Linked DNA regions of Lepisosteus oculatus. The protein of the gene in region 1 binds, or shares a complex with, the protein of each later gene. Links are inferred from orthologs where the notes say so. Each region holds a gene or a part of one and is shown on either strand. Other genes may lie near its edges.

Region 1 (7,052 bases):
TTTGACCCTCTCATTTTATTCACTTTCAGGTTTAGTTTTTAATAAGAAACTGTCTTAAATCCTGGCTTTTCCACTTCATCCTTGCCGTGACAATCCAGTACAGCAATGAGAATATGTAAATGCATTGAACCAGATGTGTCTATCAGATTGAAAAAAAAGGTTCTTTAATATTAACATTTTCCTCTTAGTTTCCTCTTAATAGTCATGGTCTTCTCAGTGCTGCTGTCTTTACAAAACCAACCCTCCCTTCTGGTGAAATATGTTTTAAAGCAAATCAATTTTGTTTAAAAAAAAGTCTGTGTTATGTTACCATTGTCTTGGAGGGAAAGAGTCTGCTGGTGTTTGGGAATGAGTGGTTTCTTACACGAGGGTTTAAATGGAGTGTGAAGATAATGAACAGACATTTTTCTCAATAAAAAGGCAAAAACCAGGATATTTTTCATTTTAATTTTCTTTTTCCTTTGTTTTCTTAAAATTATGGGGCCACAGGTTCATATTAGAATGAAGCAACCTTCTTAACTTTCAGACTCCTTGTGAAATACAGGCTTTAATCGTGTTATCATTTGAAGTGCTTTTAAAAATATGGGATGCGTGAAGCAATCTACTTTAACTACCCCTAGCCATACTAATCAATAATTCATTCAGAGGATAATCCTAAATGAATATGGCAGAGGAGTACCTTTCACTTGTCACTGCAGAATGGATTTTCACCGAGTCCCACAGCATGTGTTTGACAGGACATGGCTTTTGTTCCAATTTAATGTACACAGAGGAATTCACAACGTTTTAATTATTTAATTTCTTCCTCCGAAAAATCTAATATTCAGCAAGACCTGTGGCAACTCTTAATCACTTTCAAAACACAAACATGTAATGGTGCTTTATATCTGAGGAATCTAATCCAAAAGATTCCAAAATATACCAATTGACTGGCAGGAGAGGAAATAGATAGAAGTATATAGGGATATACAGTCCCTGGCAAGTTATTCAAATAACTTCCTACGGTGTCCCATTTTGTGAAATTACAAAATTCTGCATAAAAGTATTTTAAACTTAATTCATTCAAAACCTGCATGCTCAAACTGAATACTTCTAAGGGTTAAAATAGGTTACAGTAAACATCAGTAAAAACTAAATTCAGGGGAAAATTTCAAACACATGAAAATAATGCAAGCACAGGAGACACAAGCACCGGGTCACGGAGCTAATGCAAAGACTGAACACTGCACTGCCACTGAAGCAGGAATAAATGCCCAGCTGGAAACAAGGAAAGTGCTGTTAATTATGTACCAGTGGTATGGTCAACCTTCCCAACCATGTTGCCATAGGAACGGGTTGATTGGAAGATTGATTCAGCGATTGACTACCAGTTTGGAGTTATGGGAGCTAGAAACAGCACTTACCCGGGCGTGGGCATGACATATCTATGTTCATTCAGACTTGACAAGGTTCCCCATCCTTCCTGATGAGAACTACTGTTATAACATAATGCTTGATAACAGGGGTGGTGTTGCCTGAGTGATGCACTGTGCTGAGTTTGCACCAGAAATAATGCTTTACATTTAGATCAGAATATTCCAATTTTGTTATGAAATGCAACCTTTTCCCACATGTTTGCAATGTCACTGAGGTGCTTTGTTGCAAAATCCATGTGGGATTTGTTTAGTTACACACCCCTTTGTGGAGTGACTTGAATATTGTAGACCCATGGATATTTTCTCCCATCTCAGCCACTGAACTCTGTAGCTCTTTTGAAGTTGCTTTTGGCCTCAATGTGGTGATCCTAGAAAGTTTCCTCTTTGTCCAGCCGTTCAGTCTGGAGAGCCATTTTGGAGTTTGATCTTGTGTTGTGACCTAGGCAGGGTTCAGGCACCTTCCACTTCTTAAAGACTGATTTAACAGATTGAGGTGAGATTCTACACAAAAACTCAATGGGAATGTTTTGATCATTGAAAGGCTCGTATGTGTGTTTAATTCTGTGAATCAATGAAATACTTGCAACCAAATGAACAAGACAGGTTAAATGCCCTTATTTTGTTTGGAACCTTTCTAAGTGTGTTTATATATTGAAAAGAGCACCTTACCTGTCAATTCATCCTGTCAGTTTTCACATTAAAAGAACAAAATGGTTTTTTTTTGTGACAATCTAAGGATATCTCACAGAGCATTGTACTATTATTATTATGCATATACAGTACAGGTAAGTGATCATAATTGAACCTAGTCTGGTAAATACAGAAGCAATTATAGACACGTTCAAATAGAGAGGATGTAGGGGGACTCTTTATCCACTGGTTATGTCAGCATTCAACTGAATTTTCTGTTTGACTGGGAGTTTCTTAGTATTCCACTCCTATAAGACTATAGAGAGGAACATGTCATATACTTTTACGTTAAAAGAGTTTGCACAAACCATATACAATAATGGGGCAGAGAATCACAAAACAACTAGATGAAGAAAACCAAAAGCTGTGAGAAACTGTTTTCTTACAGTGCCTACTGTAGGCCAATATGCAACAAAGGTACTGAAAATCAATAACATAAAAAACAGATCTGGCATTAATAGTGCAGACAAAGTGAGAGTAACTTCAAATCCCTGAGGGACTACTGTGTAGCTGCAGCACAAAAAGGCAATCAGAATCAAGGGAGACCATCAGAAACTGACTGGTAAGATCAGCACTAAAATCCTGTTGACACAGTGGGATTTAATCCAGTGCTCTATATAGGTTTAAGAACATTAGCATGAGTGCTAATGGAGCTCTGCTGATGTACATCAATAAACAAGAGAGGACCATGCTCATTATCTATCTCTGCAAGAAGTGTACTTGAATGCTACAGTTATGCATATCGGCTCTTTGTAATTATCAATGCCATTATAGACATAGTTAGAACACCAGTGATACAGCATTAGAACAAGTAAGGTTAATCAAAATATTTAAACCCACTTACATGAAATTGTGTGAAGTGGATACAGGATTAGCATTAGTTTTCCCTCACGCTTCTCTAATCTCTAAGTGTCTCATTGTCATAATTATTGGATATGCATATTTAGATTTCTGTGGGATATCAGTAAACTCAATTATCCATATAATCTATAATCAGGTTGTATTGGAACAAACCTTTATAACAACAGCAGTGTAACAGTTCCAGTGACCTTGTATGTTTTTGGTCCTTGTTTTTATGATCGGGTGATCAGTTAAGACCTAACTCATAGACGTGCGTAATGAAAGATGACAGAAATCTCACGCAAGTCATGAAAAAACAAGTTTCTTATCTTATTGATAGGAGACCAATTTTTTTTCCACTGAAGTACAGAAAGTACTTTTTAATATGCACTGAAATACTGTACATATTATCATAGCCATGCTTCCGTAGATTTAGCCTTTTCACTATCGGAATCAAATTTACTGAAAATACGTGTCTGTACCTCAATAAATTGCATTTTGTGTTCTCCACAGGCGACTTCGTGTCTCGTTTAAAGCGCAAAAGGCAGCAACTTCGGACAGTTTACGTACTTCGCTTCTTGGACAGTTTACGTTGGTCGGATTTGACACTTAGCCCTGCTTAGGAAAATGAAACTTCACGTCTTTAAAAGGTCTTGTATCAAACTGCCTAAGAGCTTATAGTGCTGAAGACATCTTAAAATGTGTAGTAATGGACTGTCGAATGAGGTCTTCCTATTTGTAATTAAAATATTTCGTCTTCCATGCAAATATACCATTTTGACACAACGCCGCTCAAGTTCTCTCACTTCACCGTGCAGATTGTGACTGACATCCATCCCAACTCACAACTGCTGCCTGTCCGAGGTATGCGTGCTGAGGAATCCCATAGCCGCCCTCCAAGCAAACGCAGCTCCCTCACCTTGTATTTTATCGCTGACAGGCCGGCCGACCACTTCCAGCCCCATCTGCCGTAAGCCACTGCCCACAGTGGGACAGCCCGACCAATCAGCCCAGGGGGGACGGATTTCCTGAACTCGGAATCCCCCAGCCAGCTCCAATGTGACAGATTCGAGTAACTGGAGGCAGTAGGTGAGCAGCTGTGAGGACAGAGAGGGGCCAGGGACAGATGCAGGGTGCCGAAATGGAGGGATCTAATAATAACAGCGGCAAACAGAAGCCCCTTCCGAAAGTGAGAGAACTATTCAAGAACCAGAGGAAAGAATCGGAGGTAGGAGCTGATGGATGAACTAGAGTCTGTGTGTAGAAGGTACTGTGTGTGCCCGATAGTTTTTGCGTGCCCTACCTCTTTGGAAAGCGTGCTTAATCTGAGTTGATATGTTGTGACAGCTCAGACTACTGCTAAAAATACATGTGTGAATGTGCGGGCACACAATGTAATTTGATGGCAGTGTCTGGGATAATTTTGTAGCTGGCAGCGTGGCGGTATCAAGCAGAATGATGGTATGGATTTTAGAGCTGAGGACTTGTTAAACTTATTCCAGTATTAATTGATTAATTTTGAAAGGGAGGGCACTCCTTCTACATTTAAGATATATGCAATGAAATTATTATAAAATGTAAAAGATTTCAAAGAAAATCATGTATTTAAATTTAATCAAAACAATCCCATTTATCAACAATTCTGATATGTTTTTTTTTATTTTTCTCGGAATGGCATTCCGCCATTATAAATAAGCATAAAGAAAAAAAACATGCTTTTTTAGACAGAAAAAAAGCATACGAGAGCGACAGTACTGAGTTGGGATATATATATATTATACTACCATTATCTAAAAACAGTATCTTGTTAATCAAATGTGAACACGTTTGCTACACACAGTTTTTGGAAACTAGTATTACATCACCTCAGTTAAGAGATTCCATATAGCCTACCTTTCAATATTCCCATTTAAAGATTGATTTGTGTAGTGTACAATATCCGTTAAGCTGTTTAAATGTGTGAAGTGTTTATTCATTCTGTCATTAAAAATGAGCAAAATCAGTGTTGAATAAAATTAGACCATTTAAACCATCCAGTTATTTAAAACATTAAAGTGCAAAGGGAGACATTTTGTTTTGTAATGATACCAATTTATTTATTCGTACTGTTTTAGCATAAACAAATATTTGAGAAATGGGAGCTCAGTGTCCCTCTAGTCTCACTTTTCTATCACAATGAAGAGAAGATGCTGTCTGATGAAAGGTAAACACTCAAGGGCAATACTTTCATATTCCATATCTTTCTTTTATTTACTATGACATAGTGCTTTTAGTGTAGACAGATGAATCTGAAATTTTCATCTGTTTTCGCCATTCGCCTGCATTTTAACCGATGATCGAAGGCAACATTTTCCAGTGTATTTCTATACTAAAGCAAGTTTTTAAGTAAAACGTTATCTAACCAAATTTTACCCTCTTTTCCTGCAGAAATAGGATTTTCATTCTAAGTATTCTCCATGACCAATTTTTTAATCTTACCCTCTCGAATCAGAAATATTGGGACTTTATTTGAAGAAACCTCTTTAGATGCACACAGATTTGCAGTACTCTAGCTCTGAGGAAGGAAATGTTTTTGAACAGCTGTGTTATCAGTAACTTGAAAGCAGACTATGTGAGAGAGCCATATTAAAGCCCATGGGTAGTGTCTCGGTAAAACTTACCTTTTTCAATAGATAATTTTATTTTCTCAGAGAAATAACCATATGAAAAAAGTCTTAGGTTTTCATTTCAGAATGTATAAAGAGAACTGATCTCATTATGAACTGAGGTAATTATCTGTGGTAAACATGTTTCATGTTACAACTAGGAGCTAATACTGTTTTATTCTTTTCATGTGATTCATCTTATTTTATTCTTGTAATTTGCATTGTTATTTGTTATATACAGTAGAATAAGTAATAGTGACCCTAATTCCCAGATTTTCGTAAAGAAGGCTTTGCAGTGTGCAGTATGATTGTTTTTTGTGAAACACATTCTTAAGGAGTAGAGATCGATTTAAGACACACATATTGGAGAGAAGACAAACCTAATTCAGAGATATTTATATTCTTCTGTGAAAACTGTGCTGAGCAGTGATGATTTTAAGGCACCAAATCCTTCACTGCATCTTTTCCACTATGTAATCCTCCCCAAAAAGGAAGACATCTTGTCAAAATATGTTCAATTCAGTAAAGTAAAGAAATGGGAGATTTCAGAAATATCAATTTTCAGATTAACAGTGGAACATCTCTTTGGATTAAATGTTTTTTCAATGAAGTCATTTGCACGAAGCAGACCTAGCTAGTAAACTATAATCTAAGGATTTCTCTTATCATGCAGTAACTGTTTCGTTGTCTTCTGAAATCTCGACTGTCCACTGTTGTTGAAAAAATAATTTAAAGTGAGTTTCATTGATGGCAGTAAGACTCCTATTGAACCATTTAGATTTTAAGATGATGTAAGTATTTTTCTGTTAGCCAACACCTGTTTCTTGATATTTCTTGTGCATTAACTTAAATTAAGTACATGAACACAAAGAGGTGCAATGATATTGTTACTTGATCTGGTGTTTACAGTATTACAGTGGCATTTATTGTTAGATACTTGTTTCCTATTTCCATCGGAACAAGATTATAAAAGTGCCTGAAGAGTGAAATATGAAATGGATTCATGTGTTGTGTACTAGGAGCCTTCTTTACATCCACAAGAACATAAGAATGTTTACAATCTTATGAGAAGGCAATTTGGTCCATACAGCCTATGGTAGTTGGTAGTTAAGTGATCCAAGGATCTCATCCAGCCATTTGTTGAAAGAAGCCAGAATGTTGCCCTCAAAACCAGCTTGCAGCCCTTTCCATACATCCACAATCCTTTGAGTAGAAGTGGGTAGAGTGAGAAGTGAGTTGAGTAGAGTAGAAGTGTCTCGTGTTCTTGGCTGTACTTTCATGCCATACTGTCCAGAATGATCCTGGCGATTATGTAATTTATTATCAAGTTTATAATTCCCCCACTTTGTATTTTTTTTCCTCTTAACCAACCAAATGTTCTGTGTTTGGAAGTCCAGTATTATTTTAATGAAGGAATGTAGCCAGAAATTATCAGGAATGTCAAGTCCTTATGAAAAGAATG
Region 2 (7,533 bases), on another chromosome or scaffold:
ATCTGTCAGAAGTTGTTTATATTTAAAATGCCTTGTTTTGTTAACAATATGTCCTTGTAATTCTGACATAATGCATAGACTGCAGGTAGCTACAAATTAAGTTTTTGAGGACAGAAAGGCGAGAAAGTAAAGCCATCCAGCTGCTGGAAGAGAGGGCTGCCTGGGACTGAACATTGTAACTTCTGTTATGTGAGCTCTACCATGGGAAACAGGTAGAGAATGTAAAAGGAGAGAAAAACTCCAAATGCACAAGGCTCAACTTTTGAATGAGGCCAGAAGTGTGCACAGACGTCACACTATGACGACTGTACAATCTCCGCTGTTTAAACTGCAGCATTCATTCTTAGGAGTCTGAATGTGTCGGCTGAACTCGGGATGAGAGATTTAATTTATCTACATCATGTTCTACACAAAATGACTAAAACATACTTTGACACGCTAAATAGTTGTCATGCCAATGTTATTTCCTGTTCAGTCTGCTTGAAAATGACTAATTTAAGTAACAGGTAATGCTGAAACATCCCTTTAGTTCCCATGTTCTGATAGCTATTGGAAATTAATAATCAGAATGCTTAGTCCTAATTTAAGTTAAAGGATTGCATTTTTGGATTTAAAACTATCTGGAATAATTCAGAGATAAAACATTTTATGCACACTATCTCACATCCTTTTAGATGGCACTTAAAAAGTTAAAAGATAGCATGAACTGTAAATGTCTAGCTCTGTAAAATAGTCTTGCGTGCAGAAAGTGGAGATTTATTTCTGAATAGAAGTAGCAAAAAGGAAATCTATACAGTACACACTGTGAACTTTAGTTTCTACATTACAACAAAGAACATGCCAAACATCTCTTTTTGCAAGGTTTACAACTTATTTTGTAAATTGTGGTGTTATTTCTAGTGTAATCATTAGGATGTCACATGTAAAGACATGCAGAAGCAAAGCATTTAGTCATTCAGTCCCCCTTCAACGGTCAACGTTTTTAGCTAAATTTCTTAGAATACTAGGAATTCTGCTGAATACAAGCCTGATTGGGGGAAACACTTCAACAACCAATTCAATCCCAGATACATAATGAGGCCCCAATGACGTACAATTTGCCAATGTGTCAATTATGGATGACATCACAGCTTCACAGCCATAACTAGAGAGAATTTTCTACTTAACACTTGTTAAGGCGGAAATCCATTAATCTCTAAACAGCCTTTGTAGTTGAGCAATTGAGCAGCCTGAATGCAGTAATGCATTCATGTCAGCCTGAAACGTACTAAAAGGTTATTTCGTATTCCTTTAGGTCTTATATTATCTTAAAGTGATTCCTTTAAAAATATTTTTTTTTACCACGTCGGTGCCGAAAGCAAATAGGCATTTAACATAGCAGTTAGGTGACGATTTACTCTGTGATCATCTACTTGGTTAATACAGTAAAAAAGTGCACGGAATCAAGACACTGACGACCTTAAATTAGAGGCACCTTTTCTGCGTAACTGCAAAAGGATTCAAATTTTCAAGTCGTCTGCTGACAATTCCAACAGCATTGTAATTAACGTTATATTTTAATCTAACCCTTGTTCTTTACAATACGTCCCAAATAGAACAACTGTCCAATCAAAAATTATATTTATTGATTAAATAACCCCACAACGAAGCAAACTCTACTGCTCTATGTAAAGGTTACACTCGGTACACCATCCTGCTACAAAGAATACGGCATGAGTGCTCTCCTTTACAGGCCAAAATCGTCAAAAAAAATGTTGAAAGTAAACATCCTCAAGGGCGTCTCTTCTACCCTCAACTATTCAAAGGTTTAACCCCTAGAAAAGATGCATATCTACCGTCCTTATATCTAACTCTTGCAAAGTGCATTTGTCGTTAAAGGCAAATGCTGTACAGACCCTCTTTTCCTGTTAGTGTTCTTATGTTTCGGCTGTTAACAAACGCAACATTCCGCTAGGAAATTAAGTACAGCAATGCACATTGCACTTCGGTGGTCCTGTCCCTACGGACGGCTCTCAATTACTCCAGTGCCCCGGAGAACACGGGACTCGAGCGGGTAAGGTCTCACAGGCCTCTCGTAGTCCCCCCACTTCCTCGCTACTCCTACACTTAAAAGTGCAGGAAGGGGGAAATGTTTGCATCACCAAAAGCAACATCTCTACAGAGTCGAAGCCGGCTGGAGCGCCACGATTTCGAGTAATGTGCTTTCGTGTACTGCTGGGCACAACGTCTCACCGCAGTTCTCCGCCTAGTGCGATACAATATTGCCGCTTGGCAAGCTACAGATGTTTTTAAGTAACGATTGTGTCTTGTTTGCCGCGGTACGCATTTCAGGGTCGTGTAATGTTTTTCCCACTTAGTAGGTTGAACATTTAAAGAAAACGGAAGGTGAATGTCTTACCTGCATCCCAGGCAGGCCAGTCTGCACCGGGGAGTGAGCCATGGCGTACAGCAGTTTGAGCCCGAGAACTTGTCAAGAAACAACAACACGATCTCCTAACTCGGATCCCAGCAAATGCGAATTTGTATATTCCTGTCCTCTTTGATTTGTAGGTTATGTCCTGTAGATACGAGAATTTATCCACAGAAAACAATAAATTTAAAAAAAAATCACAGACTGACTTCTGGCAGCCCGGATCAGGTTTACCCAGCTTTCCGAAGGGTCCTTCCCTTTTTTTTTGTTTGGATGAAAACCAAACTATTTACCCCCAGAACATGAACTACAAAAATAAAAAAATAAAAATCAACGCATACGGATCACAGTCCGAGACAGTTTTTTTAAAATATACGCGCCGGTGACGTGCTGTGCCTCGGCATTTTATTTTTTTCACGAAAGGGAGCGCAGGCTTTTTGCTTTGGTGTGCAATTCGTCTTCCGTGGACAGATCTCCCACCGTAACACACAAACAAGGGTGCATGTGCTCCGCTACCATCCCACCACTGCTTGTCCAAAAAGGTGGCGCCCGTGTTTCGAAACCCACCCTACAGTAGCGCTTAAAATGATAATCAGCGTTAGAGCAGTTACGATATATTATTGTGTTGTCCTCCTCACTCTGCTCTCCTGCCCTCCGCCATCTTGTCAGCACTGTCACTCTGACATCAGGGCGGATCCGGGCTCCCAGGCCCAGTGGCGCTCCTGCACCGGCAGAGGGAGCCACTCTTCCCGGCTCGCTCGGTCCTTCACTCCCGGGCAGAATGTTGGCCAGCCTCTACTCTGCTCTGCTGTGCAAAAGTAATAATAATAATTAATAATTGCTCGCACTTATATGGCTCTTTTCTGGACACTCCACTCAAAGCGCTTTACAGGTAATGGGGTCTCCCCTCCACCACCACCAATGTGCAGCATCCACCTGGATGTGTTATTTTAAGCTTATGCAATTACATTCGCCCGAAACGTGCAGTTGTTATAATATGCACAGGATATAATATGCACGTTCGAGCACAGGATTTGTGACAGAAATGATATAAATTTGATGGCTGTACAAAAAAAAAACCCATAAACCATTGAAGATTAACTTAATATTCATAGACGGGTGTTCTCGCCTAGGCCCCCCAAGGAAACGGAAACTTTAACCCATGTAATGGTAACCGTAATGGTGGCGCATTGGTTAGTATTGCTGGGGCCCTGACTTCAATTTCTGCGCTGCTGTCTGCGTGGAGTTTGTCTGTTCTGTCCGCGTTCGCACGGGTTTCCGTTTACCAAAAACGCTGTAGGTGATTTGGCTTCCCGCTAAGGTTCTAGGTGTAACTGGGTGGCTCCCCCGCAATCCTGAATTGGAAAAAGTAATTAGAAAGCAGATGGATGTAGTATTTATGTAAAAAAAATGCATGACTGCTGGTCGGTACAATGACCATACTTTTGGACCATTTTTTTCAAATATCTTGTCCACTTGGGTCACGTTGTTGATGCAAGTTTGCACAACAAAGGTGTGAATTAGCACACGCAATGTGCGGTCGTCTACTATATTGTAATGGAGATTATGATTAATAAGGATGATTATTTGACTCCTACTTTTTGTTTTACTTGCATTTATGCTGGCTACCGCAAATATGTAATACTCGTGATGAAATAACCACACACATGCCTTTTCTCCGTGATCGAGTTGCTGACAGAAGTGAAAATCTAGTTTCACCTGTCCAGCTGGACGTACTGTACCTTGTGCAAAGCTTTTGGTTCAAGAGAAAAAGCGCAGACCATTAACACTGTAGCCATTTTCTCAGTGCATCGCCTGGACATGCGATTATACCGTTCAATTTGGGTTCTGTCCGATTCCTACAAATCTCCAACAGTGACTGTACTGGGGAGTAAATTAAGGAAACAGTTCAATATATGGAAAGTGTCATGTAATTTGTTCACGGCTTTTGTTCATTAAGTTAGGAAAAAATTCACAACAAAACTTGTGCTTCACACTTGCTCTTTATGTAAGACAGTCACGTAGTCAAAAACAAGTAAAAAAATAAAAAAGGGTCAACATTAGTGAAAAACTATATATTGTTATCAAGATATGGAGTTTTAAAATTATTTATTAAAACAACAAAAGAAGGCGATGATGGAAATACAGTGCCCTCTGGTTGAAAAACCAGGAATTCGGGTGGTGTGGGTTTGCGGGCTAAGATGACTCGTTTCTCTCATAGTGACGGCGGGAAAATGTATATTTAAATAGCATGCACCTAATTATTAAATAACACACCTGCAGTAGGCTCCACGCCTTCTGCTTTTCAGCATGGAATTAACATCTGCTTGTTCCTTTAATTATTAAAGTGACATGTTAACCTGTATGGTGCATGACAAACATGGCATGCCCACGAAGATTATATTTTATATTTTTATTATTACATTGGATCTTAGTTCCTGAGGAATTTATACCTGAATTTCCGATTATTGTATTTTCATAAAGGAAAAAAATAATTAGGCACAAATTAAATAGTAAGCCAGTACAAAAAACTTGGCTCTTCTAAACACAAACCCAGTGTACATTCTCTCCATAAAAGAGCCTTTTAGGCTATATACAGTAAAACATTATTCAGAATAAATTATGTCATGTACAGTAGCTGGATATATTGAAAACTAGAGTCATTTTTAATTCTCCCATCCAAAGCAAACCATACACTTACTGAATCATTTACCATCACATTAAACAAAATGTGATTATGTGACAGCTGGGATCAGATCGCCATCTCTTAGCAACATGCCAGTTTTGTTCCGCTCAGCACCTCCTCAGACAGTGGTGAACTCCACTATGTCAAAAGGCTGGGCCTCCCTTCATAGGAGAATTCAACACCACACAGTTTCTCTAGGGATCACGTTGTAACTGGCTAAACAAGCAGTTACAGACAGTGTTACAGTTACTTCTTGAAATACACTTCACACCTGTGTCACATAGGCTCAAAACATCAACTAAAAATAAGTCCCAAAATAAAATACATTTCACATTCTAATGAAGATAAGTAGATCAGCTTCAAATGAATAGAGTTTTTCGTCCACAAAGCAAATTAAAGTTTTTTTTTGTAAATACAAAGTTTTTCTTTCTGGAAAATGATAGTTTTGTGTAAAATGTCATGCACTAACACTGACTCCCCAACACATACACGTGTTGTGTACAATTATGATCCAGCAAACCTTTTAAAACATCAGGTAATTAAAAGGGCCTTGAAGACATTTGATGTCTATTAACGAGAGTTTAAAAGATAACAACAGGAGGATACTTAAGTGGTTTGAGTACAAATGTTTACCTAGTATTGATTCTCTTTCACAGTGTACATAACTGCTTTTGCTTTTGAATTCTCTTACTTGGAGTCTTATTGAGATATCATCCACAGTAATACATAAATATGAAACAACTGGAACAGATATAATAAGCACAATGACAAATTAACTACTGTATAACTGGCATTGATGACAAACTGAAAGATGACAAACAAAAAGAAAAATTCGGCAGGTCCATTCATTGACTTTTACATTTTAAATAAACACGAAATCATTAAGCATGCTTAATACTGCTTCAAAATGATCAGGGCATTAAGTAAGATTGCATCTTGATTTCACAAAGAACAACAAGCATATCTTTTCTGGAAACATGTGTAATTTTTCATTTAAAATATTTATACGTATTATTTACCTATGCATATTAATATCACAGGGAGAAAAAAAAACATGGATGGAAATATAGCCATAACTGAATTTATTGAAGTCTTTCTTGTGCAAAATGAAAGAGAACATCTCGTATAAAATGAGGTCAAATCTATTTTTAGCCCCAGATTTTGATTTGAATAACTGGGGCTTTATCTTAAAAAGAGTCTCTGATACATACACTTCAGAACTGTTTCATAACGCAAGGATGGCCGAATCTGTGCAGCTGAAAACACTCCATAGTCTGTTCAGATGATGTTTGTTTGTATGTTTATTAATAAGGAAATATAATGCCGGAATCAAACACTTTGAACAACAACAATTAACTGGAATTATTAATATGATGAAGCAGCAAATAATTTAAAAGCATTTAAAGTCAAGCCAATAACAAAGATATGCTTGATGGAACTATACATTAAAAAGTTTCTTACATGCATCTTAAGAAGCAGTGATCTACTCGGTAATACGATGCAGTATACTACTGGCACGGTAAAGCATGTTTGGAACAATAGGAATTATATAAGAAAATAACGGACAAGCATGGTAAAAACACAATATAACCTGGGTAAAACTATTAGAAGCACAGCACTACTGTTAATGACATCTCTTGTGTTCTGCTGTTTGTCTCAGATTGTCAGATACCAAAGTGTTCCAGGAAAAATTAGCAACTGTGATGCAATGGCTGAAATAACCGATGAGACGATTTCATATAGAGTTTTTACAGTTTAAGCTTTGTGCAAAACATTAGTACACCGTGTTATATGAGACTGTATGAAGTATGTTGCTGGACAGATAACAAGATATTACTTCAAAACACTGCTTCACCAGATGAACTATATTTTTATAAATTTGTAAGGGGGAGCAATTGTTTTTTTATTTTAAATTAAATTGGGTCTCAGATTATTAGATTAAATCCCCAGAAAAGTTCAACTGATTTTGTTCTACAAAGGTTCTCCATTTAGCATTCTCCGTTGAAAAAGTAAACAAAAAAAACACTGGCTTCCCCAGTTCCTCTACAGAATAAATTCTACTGACTGTTATGATTTATGTTTCATGGATGTAGTCATCTGCTTACCCAGGACCCTCTGCTAAGATGATACAACTCAGGGCACTTAGTGTTTCAGTCTACAGCTCTGGGTTTATCTATCATCTTGTGAGATTTAGAAGCTAACATGCACAATTTGGAGTTTCTGACTGAAGCTCAGGGCACATATCTTTATTTTCATCCAGGGTTTGTGGGTGGTACCTTGGGGTACTGAGTCCAGTAGTCTTAGGGAAATACAAGGGGCACTTAGCTCTGTTGATAATGCACAAAACACTTAACCTCATTTACCTAATATACATCAAATGGTACCACAAAAGGCAGCATTTGTTTTTTTTTCTATACTTGTTTGTCATAGTTCTGTC
Region 3 (7,813 bases), on another chromosome or scaffold:
AAAGTCCTCCTGTTTTTCCATGTGAAAACGTTCCAGGAGGGTGTAGGGTATCCAGAAGCAGCTCCAGTCCTAACCTTCTCCCCTATCCTCCACTAACTACCTCCACTGAACTACACTACAAACCTGCACATTACCTGACTTTGAACTTTGTTCAATACAAAGCACAAAACTGCTGTGCTGGAGGGGCTATGAAATTGAAAAAGTGCCTTATATTGTGATTTTTTTCACCTCATAACTTAGTGCTTTATCTTAATATTTTGTATGACCCTTAGTTATGAAACTTGTGTACTGTTCAAATTTGTGGTGTCTATTCGTTTAGAACAGGGGTCTCCAAACCTGTGGTCCCCTATTTTTAAAGGGAAACTGAAGTCTCGATTTCTGAGAGCTATTATTAAATCTCGGTAACAAAATAAATTCATTGACAGCATGGAAAAAAAATTACAAGTTTCGAATTCCAAATTCATTAACTTTGTGAAAGTACTGTAAGTCTCCATGTTGTTGCAAACCCCTGGTCTCACCGTCAGACAAGAGCGAGATTTTGTAAGAATTGTGATGTGATGCAGCCCTTCCTGCTCACTAGTCACTGTAATGACTAATGTAATATGATGTACAGTAAGAACGCATACATACAGATTGTGTAGCAGACATTTCTCGGCAGAAGTGTTCCAACGTGGTCTGCATGCAGAGTTAACAAGTAAGTACTATTTGTCGGCAAAACCGTCTCGAAATAGAGAGCAATATTTCTGTTGGATTACAAGAGATGTATTCACAAGCCTGCTAGTTAACAATGTAATAGGGCTGGTTCATGTCATTGGCTGTTTTGTTGCCTCATTCTGAATTGCAGAATATGACTGGGTGCACCTGGAAATTTAGTCTATTTGATGTAGGTTGGAGGTTTGAAAGTTACTGTGTACATTTTACATTTATTATGGTTTGAAATATTCTTTCTTACACCGAACTTTAGAAAATATGGTTGCAACTACCCCCTTTCAAAACAAAGCAGGTGATAAATCAAAAAATGAATCTGCTCAATCAAGAATACTTAATTTTTATCATTAAATCGCTTAATTTCTCAAATCACCTGTTTAATCTATCGCAGTTGATCTATGGCTTTAGAAATTGGTAATTTAATGGTGACTTACAAAACCTCCTGAATTGGGGCTGCCTAGAATCAGGGTTCAAGACCCTTGTTTTAAAATGTAAGTTTAATAAAAGGAAAACTTTGCTAAGGTTATTCGTGCAAGACAAGGCACAGTCAGAATAATGGAAATGTTTTTTAAAAAATCTAATATGGTCACCACATTGTGACCTAGAGTCTGACCTTTTTACCTGTTACTATTGCCAATGGAATTATGAAAGCATGTTTCATTGGTTAATTATAGGGATTTTATAGTCATTAAATTATTTTTCACTACAAAATCTATAATAATAAATAGGTCTTCAGGAACTCTGTTGCTAAGCCCCCTAATAAATTGGACATACTGTACAAACAACCTGTCGTCTGAACTACTGTAGACATCAGGTTCAGTTGGGGATTTGACGTTTATATTCTATTTAGAAGAATAATGCAAATATTCCTTGGCTCTGTTCTTTCTCTATATGCGACCATGCTATTTAATTTTGACTTTATGCCAGCAGAGCGTAATCACAGAATTGCGTGCTTCAAATCACATCTTCAGCTGTTAAACGCACGACGCAGTCCTGTTAAGGAGATGCGAGCGGTTGGAGAGTTTGTCAGGCAGGGAGTTCCCTTTTCATTGTGATTTAAGTTAAACATGTTACTTCATTCCACCTCCAAAGACCAGACATTACTGAAAGAACAGAATCAAAGCGGTAATTCTGAGGCAAAAACGCTAAAGTTATTTAACAAACGTCTCCACAGCCCACCACATTCTCCAGTCAGCTCACCATAGAATATATAATTAACTAATACAATACTAAAAACATATGCAGTTTATAATGTTACTGTCTTAAATTGCTGTTTTGTCATTCACAATAAAACATACTGTACTTCTTGAACTGTACCGTCATCAACCAGCAGATGGAGACAAACGTTTAAAACCTAACATTTGTTTTCGGAAGTGGCGTTGTTTTAGATCCGTACTAATGCACTGATACTTGATGTAGCCTGTGCTGTTTCTTCGTTGGGCTGTAGGTGGCGTACGAGTGTTATTATACAATATAATAATAATAATAATAATAATTGCTTACACTTATATAGCACTTTTCTGGACACTCCACTCAAAGCGCTTTACAGGTAATGGGGACTCCCCTCCACCACCACCAATGTGCAGCATCCACCTGGATGATGTGACGGCAGCCATAGTGCACCAGAACACTCACCACACATCAGCTATCAGTCGGGAGGAGAGCAGAGAGTAATGAAGCCAATTCATAGATGGGGATTATTAGGAGGCCATGATTGGTAAGGGCCAATGGGAAATTTAGCCAGGACACCTGGGTTACACCCCTACTCTTTTCAAGAAATGCCCTGGGATTTTTAATGACCACAGAGAGTCAGGACCTCGGTTTAACGTCTCATCCGAAGGACGGCGCCTGTTTACAGTATAGTGTCCCCGTCACTATACTGGGGCATTAGGACCCACATGGACCACAGGGTGAGCACCCCCTCCCATCCAGGTGCTGACCAGGCTCACACCTGCTTAGCTTCAGTGGGTTGCCAGTTGTGAGTTGCAGGGTGATATGGCAGCTGATATATTATATTATAAGTATCTTTATAATAGGATATGGTGTGCGTTAGAAACGCAAAAAACGAAGGTTTGTACTTTTAGATGAGTGTTTTGGAGGATTTGACGGTGCTCACATAAATTCAGAAGAATGAGAAGATGGGTCTTTGCTTTTTTTAGTCCCCTAAATGTCTAGGGTGAGGTACAAACCCCCAGACTCTGCTATACAGACAGATACTTTGTAAGCATATGGGCCACTAACACTTAACATTACAAGCACCATGAACAGGCAATTAAGCATACTCACAAGACCTTTGAACCCTTCACTCAGTCTGGACTGTCACAGTACTGTATGATAATGAAGTCCACTAGTACTTAAAATCAATTAGAGCCCAGCTGCAGTCCCATCTCCTACCTCTAGGAGTCCTCATTCTTCATTCTACTGTGTTCATAGGACACGAATGCCCCCAAACTGATGTCAGATGCTTTTGTTCCAGTGCTAAACGTAGAGAGTATTTTATTCTCTGATAGTATCTTTAATTATGAGTAAGAACTAAGCCTTTTTTCTTAAACGTATCTTACTGAGACATTTCTTAGTCTGACCTCGCTGTGACATTCACATTTCCTGCTGTGTTGACCAGCTTGTGAGCTGTCCTTTGTAGTCATACAACCTACTTTGCCTTGACGTCTTTAAATAATTTTTAAAGGATGAAGATAATAATGTGGGTTTCTCAATTTCTTCTCGTACAGATATTGTTGTGCCTGTACTTGACAGTTTTGGCTTCAGATCAGACAGGTGTGTGCTGCTTGTCTGTACAAAAGAAACACACCTTACCGCTGGGCTCGTAACAGCGGGGTATGATGAGGATCAAGCAAACACCATGGAGCAGGTTGGATACAGGGGGAAATCTCTTCCACAAGTCCTTTTAAAAATAAAATCCAACCAAAACATCAACAAAGATAAAAGACAATTATTCTATCAAGAGGTTCAGAACTGCCATGCTTCTCGATACATTAACTTCTTTTAATTCACTGGAATTTTAATTAACTGGGATTTAATGGAAGCAGGTGGCGGGCTGTTTTATACTTCCATTAATATTTTTAAAATAAGGCATTATGAATCTTATCAATGTAATAAAAGTAAATCAATGTACAGTATTTTAATGAGAAAGGTGTGACCATGTACAGTATCTTTATAGAAGATTTGCTTATATACCGTTTGGAAAACGGAAGTAAGGCGAAGCAGTAAAAAAATAAATTAGTGCTCCCGAAAAAATAGAAAAAAATAAAACTGGTGAAATGTAAAAAATATCATATGGATTGAGGGGAAAGCCTGAGCCTAAAAAACATCAATACTAAAACGAAAACGAGAGCAATAGTTTTAGATTTAGCTGAAGAGTAAATCTTTCTTCCTAATATTTTATTTCCTGACACCTTTGATTAATGAAATGTAATGTTTCGTAGTAATGTTAGTTCATGCACTGTGTCCCCTTTTATACAAAAATCCCAATAATCTCTCAACGTTTTTTGTCATACATAAAATGTATTTGTCAACGTTGTACATCCTTTCAGACGAACTCTTTTGCTCATCAAAATGTGGGTTTATTTTTAATCCCCCAGTTGCTCCCTTTTCTGGCATATTCGATCACTTTTTAGCTGCAGAGCATTTCTAGAACTGAGAAAGAAATCTTAACTCAAGTTTGCGTCCTTCTTGGTGTCTTAAAGTACCACGGCTGTTAATTCAAAACTTTAATTCAGTTTAAATGACCACTAACTAAATCATTGCTATTTAAAAAAAAGAACTGTGAAACGGCCTGCTAAACAATATTTATCGTTGTTTGTGTCGAGCTCGTATCGCCGAAAGCCTTGAAGTGCGACTCTTACAGACGATGAGAGAAGGGCACATCAAGCAGTAACTGATGTGCACTGTAATCAGGCCTGTCCTGTCGGGAAGCGCTACGTTAGCAAGGTATAATGGTAAAACACGCCTCTCGCAATCCCGCACACACTGTAGTCCCTAGCAGCAGCGGCAAGCGATGACGTCTGTGAATGTGGTGTGTGTTGACTCTGGCTCAATAACACGGCTCCACCCAATTTAACACAGCGAGCAAGTAGCTACTTTAGGAAGCCAAACATGGCGTTTGCATCTCAGTTCTGAGATGCTGTTCAAGTGTTGCTTCGTGAAGAAAACACGAGAACAGCACCTAGGAGGTCACAAAAGCGACCGTAAAGCAAAAGGGCGCAGTGAACTGACAATCAGCCGACAAGGCATGGGAGCTTGGGCAGACTAGCAGTGAAGAGGGGTCTAGGCTTAAGCAAAGTTAAGCGGGGGGATAGCTGCAGTGTATGTAAGGGAATAATAATACTAGTGAGAAAACTTTCAGGCACGCACAGCGTTGCGACAGCTGCTCCTCGTTTATTTGCTTGGTGCAGCCTAAAAGCAGGAGAGAGGCTAAAAGGAGAATATAGCGCTGCTTTGGGGGAAAATATATCATTTTGGACTGGACGTGAAGATGGCCCACTCGCCGGTAGCAGTCCAAGTGCCAGGGATGCAGGTAAGTAAGGCCTCGTTATACAAACTTCACCTACGGCACTGGAAATTGCCCACACAGCACAGGAATTGCGCATATGCGGCTCCTGTTGACTCCGAGCGCTTCAAACCGGCGGATTGGCAGCCAGTTTGCTAGCCCTGGCTTTATTAAACAAAAGCCCAAAGCCGTGGCGTTATCACAGTCATTTTAAAATTTGTTTTCAACGGTTCGGTTTCTGAATCATCACCGTGGTACAAAACGGGAAACGAGAATTATTCTTGTTCAATGGGTCTAAACCACACAGATTAGCCGATCACTCGCGTACTCTAAAATATTGGCAACGCAAGCGCATCCCCATAATGTATTTGTGAACTTTGAAGTTTCTCTCGGCTTCTGTGGTCATGCAGCCTTTGTGATTAAACTGTGCGATTTATCTGCGCCGAAAATAACTTGCTGCGTTTTAGAGTCGCCTCCTTTTCTCCTGTTTTTGAACTTCGGCCAGCCGTTAATTTTAGCCTGGTCTAAAACTTTACGTACAAATCAATTAGCTAGGATCTTCCGTATTGTCAAGTTGGCTGTGTGCGCCTTAGTGAAGAAGAGAGGACAAAATAAACCCTGCTATTTGTCGTGATGGTACAGGTTTGCATTATACATTTGTGCACTATGATCGCTGTAAACAGAGACGATTCAGGTGTTTCGGTAGTAGTACAGGGTACGATTAACTGGTACTTAATGTACCTTAAAAGCACAGGAATGGTTGTAATTCAAATGTCAAGTACAGGTTTAATGTAATCGGAACTGAAATCCCAACAAAAATGTAGTTTTTATTTATCGTTGTGACGTATTTTTATTGTTTTACTGTTGTCGATGAAGAATGTGTCGGTTAGACGTTGTTCCTACGTTTTATTACAGAGCGGGCAGGCAATGTTTAAATGGGCTTTAAGGTACTAGTTACGTGCTTATAGCGAGTCTCCGGGCATGTTAGTGTCTGCTTGTCTGCCCTTGGTACATGTGATCCAGGACAGTTAAAATTACGTAGGCTTCCTTTTTTTCACGAATGTTTTGCCACACACTTTCCAACCGTCCGTGGACGTCTGCCTTCCAGCCGGAAGCATTGGCTAGTCGTTTCAGTTTGAATTCCCTGTATACTGTAAAACCTAGCCACCTCCGGGCACACTTAAGCGAGCATTGTGGAGTTTAAGAGAAACCACAAGAGCAATCTGTAAGCCCTGGTAAAGTTTTAAGCCTCACACACCCAACAGGTGTAATTATTTCTGCTGACCAGGCATTCATTAGTCACACCCATTATTAATAATTAATGGGGAAGATCCACTTGTTATAGATGGAGAAATACCCTCATCTTGGTTAAGTTGATCTGACAGTTCCAAATAAGGTACTGAAGTGCCAATCAGCGTTATTAAGATGGTCATTACAGCAGTGTAAATGGCTTGCATTTAAGAATTTTTATTTGGTGTTGTATTTTACGAATGGTTTATGGTCTTCAGTTTGATCGGATTGTGTTGAGTCATTGCCCCTGAAACTAATTGGAGTTACTCATTGCTGGGCAGTTACAAGCTACAGGACACTGTAGCTAAGGAGTGGCTTGAGATTTATTACTGGATTAGAGAACAGCAACATGCCCAATCTGTTTTATGATTTAGGTGTGCCCCTTTCCTATAATTACCATTCAGTTAAAAAAGAAAGTGAAAGCAGCTGTGAATCTTCAGGTTTTTCTTCTTGAAGTTGATCATTTAAATCCGTTTATGATAAACCCTTTCCCTGTCTGTAATAATGTAATAGCATGCCCATGGTGGATTAGACTCCTGGAAATTAGTTTTGTGTGTATGTGAGCCTTTTCATGAAATAGTCACCAGTCTTTTTTACTAATTTAATTGTGTATGAGAGACCTTTCCCCTGTCCTTGTTTGACGGTGGGGAGTGAAGCTGGTAGCTGTGCTTTGCCTAGGATAGAACAGCTATTTAATTTAATGCTATCACTTTAAATAAATTCTCTGACCCCCTGCCAGACTGAGAATATAATTAACAGGTGTTAGAATTTGTTTAAACAGAACAGTACATTTTACAAAGGTGTAGGTGTAGAAGCGAGCCTGATAATGGTTTAAGTAAATCATGTATCAAGCAAGACTTAAGGTATACATGTATGCTGTACATACAGTAAATAGACATCCTAGTCTGCACTAAACGCATGATTATTAATGATTATTACAAAGAACTGTCTAACCATGGGTAGGTGATTTGTAGTATTCTCCTTGGCCTTCCATTGAGGAGCAGAGCCCTTTCGCAGTGCATTGAAAACATCTGGAAACCTGAAGTATTTGCAACCTGCTCCCGGCACATATTTTCAAAGGGGGAGTTCCAGGTTCCAGGGAATTAGTTTAATTGGACACAGGAGAAGGACAGCACCCTGATCGTTTGTTTTTGTACACTTTAGGATAGAGCAAGCCTTGTGTGCTTTTTGATCACCATCTGGACAGCCTCAAATACCCAACTGCTCACAATCAGTTAATTTCTCCCCGTCCTCCATCTGCACAATAAACTCTCATATCTTATCTCAGGTGTCCACAAAGAGCTGATC

What was found. Proteins that work in one complex are often made in the same cells at the same time.
Region 2: strip2 (region 1) and serine/threonine-protein kinase 24 share a complex: the UniProt entries of both Homo sapiens proteins name them as parts of the core of STRIPAK complex. The link is inferred for Lepisosteus oculatus from reciprocal best matches to the Homo sapiens genes STRIP2 and STK24.
Region 3: strip2 (region 1) and stk26 share a complex: the UniProt entries of both Homo sapiens proteins name them as parts of the core of STRIPAK complex. The link is inferred for Lepisosteus oculatus from reciprocal best matches to the Homo sapiens genes STRIP2 and STK26.

What each region holds. Positions count from the first base shown.
Region 1 is NC_090702.1:33,448,547-33,455,598, forward strand, and holds the start of strip2 (striatin-interacting protein 1 homolog), read left to right. Parts: upstream 1-3,993; 5' UTR 3,994-4,071; coding exon 4,072-4,173; intron 4,174-7,052. UniProt on the Homo sapiens protein: Plays a role in the regulation of cell morphology and cytoskeletal organization. Required in the control of cell shape. Calmodulin-binding scaffolding protein which is the center of the striatin-interacting phosphatase and kinase (STRIPAK) complexes.
Region 2 is NC_090710.1:6,270,729-6,278,261, reverse strand, and holds the start of serine/threonine-protein kinase 24, read right to left. Parts: upstream 3,100-7,533; 5' UTR 2,441-3,099; coding exon 2,399-2,440; intron 1-2,398. UniProt on the Homo sapiens protein: Serine/threonine-protein kinase that acts on both serine and threonine residues and promotes apoptosis in response to stress stimuli and caspase activation.
Region 3 is NC_090703.1:39,095,674-39,103,486, forward strand, and holds the start of stk26 (serine/threonine-protein kinase 26), read left to right. Parts: upstream 1-4,714; 5' UTR 4,715-5,200; coding exon 5,201-5,242; intron 5,243-7,813. UniProt on the Homo sapiens protein: Serine/threonine-protein kinase that acts as a mediator of cell growth. Modulates apoptosis. In association with STK24 negatively regulates Golgi reorientation in polarized cell migration upon RHO activation.